Yarrowia lipolytica: one gene and its partner. The protein of the gene in region 2 interacts with the protein of the main gene of each other region in a pairwise test. Links are inferred from orthologs where the notes say so. Each region holds a gene or a part of one and is shown on either strand. Other genes may lie near its edges.

The links.
Region 1: the proteins of YALI1_B09894g (region 2) and YALI1_C07780g interact in binary tests that used the Saccharomyces cerevisiae proteins (3 or more experiments, as listed by UniProt). The link is inferred for Yarrowia lipolytica from reciprocal best matches to the Saccharomyces cerevisiae genes CYC8 and HOS2.

Annotation. Positions count from the first base shown.
Region 1 is NC_090772.1:777,108-779,856, forward strand, and holds YALI1_C07780g (uncharacterized protein), read left to right. Parts: upstream 1-914; coding exon 915-2,216; downstream 2,217-2,749.
Region 2 is NC_090771.1:987,829-991,590, forward strand, and holds the start of YALI1_B09894g (uncharacterized protein), read left to right. Parts: upstream 1-1,620; coding exon 1,621-3,762. UniProt on the Saccharomyces cerevisiae protein: Acts as a component of the CYC8-TUP1 corepressor complex which is involved in the repression of many genes in a wide variety of physiological processes including heme-regulated and catabolite repressed genes.

The DNA of each region.
Region 1 (2,749 bases), on a different chromosome or scaffold from region 2:
GTTCTGGGTGGCAATGAAGAGTACTGTAACCACCGTGAGCATGATGTATGTGGCGATGCGGGAGAGTAGGGTTAGGGTTAGGAGGGAACCACCCTGAGAGCGATAGTTGGGGTTTAGTTGGGAGTTCAGTTGAATGTGGAGGAGAGGTGAGTTGGTGGTGTTTGGAGGGTTACGGAGCTCAAAAAAAGTCGATTGGGGAGGTCTGAGTGGATGATACTATTATTCATATAGACTGAGACTCCTGTGAGGGTATTTGGTGCCTTACTTTGAGTGTTATGTTGAGCTGACCTCGGTTAAACAGGTAAACTAATCTCAAACTTGAGGTTCTGAAAACGGAAATTTATAAGGGACGTTTCCATCGTGTTGGAGGTGTTTGATCAAGCTAGTGATTTTTCCAGTCGTTCAAATGTAGCTTTAATAATGGTTTTCCGGAATTTTTATATTTCTGACGTCTCTATACCCTCCGTTATATTGACTCTTTTGAGACTACTGTATGTACAGTATGTACTTGTAGATGTTAGCTGTGTATAGTGGTAAGGAGGTAGAGACATGGCAGTGGGTATTGGGTCAGGTGCTACATGATGAGAGAAAATTACTTGCTCAATAAAGTAAGCCATGGTCAGATAATGGCCAACATTAGAGAAAAAGATATGCTCACAAGCCATTTTTCCCGACTTTTCGCCACCTTTTCTATCTGTCCTAGAATTTCACCCTACCAATAAAGTTTCTTATATGCACAATTAATTCACCTCCATCACCCATCTCCAGTGCACTAAACAATATACGACAGAAAAAAAAAAGCACATAATACGGGATTTATCGGCAGAGACGCGGCACAAGTGACACCAAAATCAACGCGACACCGTCACAAACACAACACATAGCATCACATCACATTCCACTTCTCTACAGTCATGTCAGAACCAACCATCGTGTTTGACTCCAAGACGGTGGAAAACACGCCTCTCTACGAGTCGTTTCTGACGACACAAAAACGCCGCGTGTCGTACCATTTCAACGAGGAGGCTGCGCGATACCATTATGGAGTCCGTCACCCCATGAAACCGTTTCGACTCATGCTGACAGACCATCTGGTGCTGGGATACAAGCTACACAACAAACTGGACTTGTACAGATCCCGAAGAGCCACAGAAACAGAGGTGCGGGAGTTCCACGCCGAAGAGTACATTGATTTCTTGCAACGTGTCACTCCGGATAACATCAAAAAGTTCCAGCGAGTTTTACCCAAGTTTAACATTGGAGACGATTGTCCCATTTTCGACGGCATGTACGACTACTCGATCATTTACGCAGGTAGCAGTTTGGACGCGAGTCGAAAGCTTCTTGCTGGCCAGTCAGATATCGCCATCAACTGGTCTGGAGGTCTGCATCATGCGAAAAAGTTTGAAGCCAGTGGATTCTGTTATGTGAACGACATTGTGTTGGCGATTCTGAACCTTCTCAGAATGTATCCACGTGTTCTTTACATTGATATCGACATTCACCACGGAGACGGAGTGCAGGAGGCGTTCTATTCGACCGACCGAGTCATGACTCTGTCGTTCCACAAGTATAACGGAGAGTTCTTCCCTGGTACGGGAAACTTTGACGAGATTGGAACTAGTCTGGGCAAGAACTACTCACTCAACGTGCCGCTACGAGACGGAATCGACGACGAGTCGTACGTGCGGCTGTTCAAGAGTGTTTTAGAGCCTGTTCTCAACAGTTACAGACCCTCGGCTATTGTGCTTCAATGTGGAGCTGATTCGCTTGGTGGAGATCGTTTGGGATGTTTCAATCTCAACATCAAGGCCCATGGAGAGTGCGTTGCATATACAAAGTCGTTTGGCCTGCCTCTGATTGTGCTTGGAGGAGGAGGATACACCCCTCGCAACGTGTCTCGATTGTGGTGTTATGAGACCAGTGTGTGTCTGGACGTTGATCTGGAGACTCGGTTGCCTTCTTCCATGCCTTTTCTCAAGTATTTTGCTCCAGATTACTCGTTGCATCCCAACCTGGCTGGTAAGATCGACAACAAGAACTCCCGCAAGTTTCTGGATTCTGTGCATGTGCAGGTGATGGAACAGCTGAGAACTTTGCAGGGAGCCCCCAGTGTTCAGATGGCTGAAATTCCGCCGGACCTGGCCGGTCTGACTGAGGAGGGAGAAAAGCAGCGACGAGATGAGCTTGACGAGGCGATGAAGGATGCGAGGTAGTCGGGCATGGAGCACATTATATTTATTGTAAATAGGCAGGGAGTCGAAAGGCTCGTAATCAACTAATGATGATATTGGGGGCACAGAAACGACTTCAAGTACCACTATCGATAGTTGACGCATTTACTTGAGACGGACGACGGATACTCGTACAAAACTGGACATTGTTCAACACACCAGATATGATCGTTTGTCTCCTTAGAGGTATGCTTACGCGCTACACTTAGACTTGCAGGGTTATGCTTATTGGAGGCTCAAAAATGGGCTGATGAAAAGTATTGCAACTGTATCTGGATGTATGTTGCATTATCGACCGTGGCATTTGCCAGAATGGGAGTGAGACGGGAGCACGGGCTTTTTCGGACGTGTGACGGCGTGCGTTGTTTCAGATTTATTTGATAAGATCGGCGTGAGAATTTTGCGCTGCTGAGTATGGTGGTATTCGGCCGGCTCGTGGATTAGGAGAGGGCCACCAGGTGCTAGTGTGTTGGATAGTGGTCTGTTTTCTATGTACATACAGTTCAATTGAGTGA
Region 2 (3,762 bases):
AGAGCTGGGACAGTCGCTGACAGAATAGAGCCTGAGTGGATCTTCCCTCAGCCAAAGTTCCGTGGAGTGCGGCGCCAGACCCTACTGCAAATAGGGCTCAGAGCAGCCATGTCTGATGACTCAGACCACATTATCCAAATGCCAGAGACGGCCCAAGATATCCCGACCCCAGTCTTTCAATTAACCCTTCTTATTCCACCCGTATTCGTGCGGCCGAATTTCCCTCCAACTGGCCACGATTTCCATTTCTTATGTGCGAGGGTTTTCTTCCATATTTTTATTATTATTATTATTATTTATTATTATTATTATTCTATATTTAAATATTACTTCAAATAAGTATTATCAATATTATTTTATTATTATTTTATTCCTTTTCCCATTTTTTCATTTTCTATTTTAATAAAAATTTTTATTTATTTATTTATTTAAAAAAATCACACCCGACGACACTACAATAAATATCACCGACAACCCAACAGTAAAAACATTTCACCATTAAATACAGGAAATTAAGCCATCCATTCTCTATCAACACATCATCTGCTCCATCTTTTATCCCTTTTTCAAGCAACAACACCTCCACACCGCCGTTCACCAGATTAACTCGTACCCAGTTCACCATTATGCACGTGGGTGGATACGACGCGCCGCACATGAGTAATGGGGCAATACGCCACGTAAGCGCAAAATAAGATTGCCTAGTTACCCGGGGGGCCGTTGCAGTGGAAATAAAAATTGAGTTTGACCACCAGGGCAGGGGCAGGACGATAGTTGCGTAGAGGGTAATAAGATAAGACCAATGTGGCTGGTCACGTGACCCAACTCGAGCGGAATAAAATTATCGGGCCAGGGGTCGTTAGGATAAGTGTTATGTATTACATAATCTTCACTATCCTACTCATTTCCCACAACCCTAACCCTCCCAGGCACACCCTGTTTTCCCCGTTCCCCCAACTCAAATAAGGTTTTTCCGAGCCCGAAGTCTAAAAAGCCTCAACCACCACCCCCCCCGACCGACCAATCCAAAACCTAGCCCTAACCCTAATTCTAACCCTACTCCACCTCCTCCCTGCCCTGCTGCATTCAAACATCACCACTTGTTTTGGGCGACTTTTTACGACATCCCAATTCTGCCCGAACCCTTTGTTGGTGCGAAAGTGATTGTTTTGACGGTAAATTGCTGCTAGCTGCCGCCTTAGCGCCACCCCCGATTTTTCCGGCTCTCGATTCGACCTCGTGACACAGACAGCGAACAACGGACATAAAAGCCTGCGACACAAACGGCGCAAGAGACACAAAAACACAAGGCATTTTTTCGGACGCCGAATTCAAACGACCGCCACAAACGAGACACACACACACGCACACACGTGATTTTCGAGTCTGGATATCGCTCGCCTCTGTCACGTGATTGGTTGATTTTGGTGATTTTTTGGCTGACCGATTTTCGACAATTTTTGGTTGACGACTTGTTACTACTTTTGACGACTTCGACAAGGGCTTACTTTTTGGCAAGGACATTTCTCGTTGACGATTGATATTGACGAGATTGTTGATTGTGATTGCTGACTACTATTACGGTATTGCTGACTACTCCGACTACTCATTACTCTGACCATGACCCAACTACAAAAACTACAAACGGCGTCGATCGACACCTGGCTGGCGGTGGGCTCGCTGGCAGAGCTGCTCAACGAGTCGGAACGCGCCATCAACGCCTACGAGGCAGCGCTCTCCTACAACCCCTGCTCCATTCCCGCTCTGACCGCCATCGCCAACCTGTACCGGTCGATGGAACACTTCCCCAAGGCGGTGGAGTACTACCAGAACATCATCTCGCTGAGCTCGGACTCGGGCGAGACCCACGGCTCGCTGGGCCACTGTTATCTGATGATGGACGACCTGCACAAGGCCTACTCCGCCTACCAGCAGGCCCTGTACCATCTGCGGGACCCCAAGGACCCCAAGCTGTGGTACGGCATCGGCATTCTGTACGACCGGTACGGCTCGCTGGAGTACGCCGAAGAGGCGTTTTCGCAGGTGATGGAAATGGACCCGCACTTTGAGAAGGCCAACGAAATCTACTTCCGGCTTGGCATCATCTACAAGCAGCAGGCCAAGTACTCGCAGAGCCTCGACTGCTTCCGGTACATTCTGCACAACCCGCCTCGACCGCTGACCGAAATCGACATTTGGTTCCAGATTGGCCATGTCCATGAGCAGCAGAAGGACTTCCAGTTGGCGCGAGAAGCTTACGACCGCGTGCTGGTGGAAAACCCCAACCACGCTAAGGTTCTACAGCAACTCGGCTGGCTCCACCACCAGCAATCGTCCACCTTTGCCAACCAGGATGTGGCTATCAACTATCTGCTCAAGTCGCTGGACGCAGATCCCCTGGAGGCCCAGTCGTGGTATCTACTGGGCCGGTGCTACATGGCGCAGCAAAAGTACAACAAGGCGTACGAGGCCTATCAACGGGCCGTTTACCGCGACGGGCGCAACCCCACCTTTTGGTGCTCCATTGGCGTGCTCTATTACCAGATCAACCAGTACCGCGACGCTCTGGACGCCTACTCCCGCGCCATCCGCCTCAATCCCTACATTTCCGAGGTTTGGTACGATCTCGGCACGCTCTACGAGAGCTGCAACAACCAAGTCAACGACGCCATCGACGCCTATCAGAAGGCCGCCGAGCTGGACCCCCACAATCCCCACATCCAAGAGCGGTTGTTGCAGTTGCGATCGGGCCAGGGCCACAATGGCGCCGCCCCCGCCGGTCCTCCTCGACCCCAGGACGTCAATCCCCAGAGCTACAGCCATCACGGTCCTCCTGGCTGGGACGATGCCGCTGGAGGAGCCGCTGGAGCCAACGCTGCTGCCGGAGGAGCTGCCGGAGGAGCTGCCGGAACTCCTCAGGCTCCTCCTGGACTTGGACCTCCAGGACTGGCTCCCGGCGGGCCTCCCGGCGGGCTTTCCAACGCCTCTGGTCTTGGATCTGGGGCTCCTCCTCCTCTGGCAGCCTCTTCTGCGCCGCTGCCTCCTCCTAACGGTCTTCCGGCTGCTCAGACTGCGCCCAACACCGCCCAGACCGCCGCTCCCACGCCTCCGCAACCCGCTGCCGCTCTCCCACAGCTCGCCGGAATCTCCGAGATCCAGCAGCGCGTCTTGCCACAGATTGACTACGCCGAAAACGGCCACGGTCACCAGGGAGGCGAGAAGCGACCCGGCGAATGGGAGGACGAGCGCCGTTTCAAGCGCGTGGATGTTAATGGCGCCGCCACGCCCGCCAGCGGCAATAACACCCCCAATCTTGCTCCGGGTGGCCAGGCTAATGCCGTTGAGCGTGATATCGGCTCTTCGGGCGCTGGTTCGGGTGTTCCTGGAGCTCCCGGTGCTCCCGGTGCGCCTCCGGCCGCTCCTCCGGCTGTTGCCAACGCCGCCAATGCCGCTGGAACCACGCCTCTGCCTCCGCCCCCACCCACGGTGCCGCCGCCCGCGCCCCAGCACGTGCCGACGACCCAAGAGCTGCCACCAGTGCAGGACACGCCGACTCCCGCAGCGGTTGAGCCCAAGAAGGAGGAGCCGGACGTGCCCGTTGCGGTGCCTATTTCCGCGCCTGTTTCTGCGCCCGTTGCGGCGCCCACTGCCGCCGCCGCTGCCGCCGTGCCTCCTGCCGCGCCTCCTAGTGCACTTGCGCAGGCTCAGGAGCCAGAGAAGCCCGACGTTCAATCTGACGTTAAGTCTGACGCGAACGAGGTT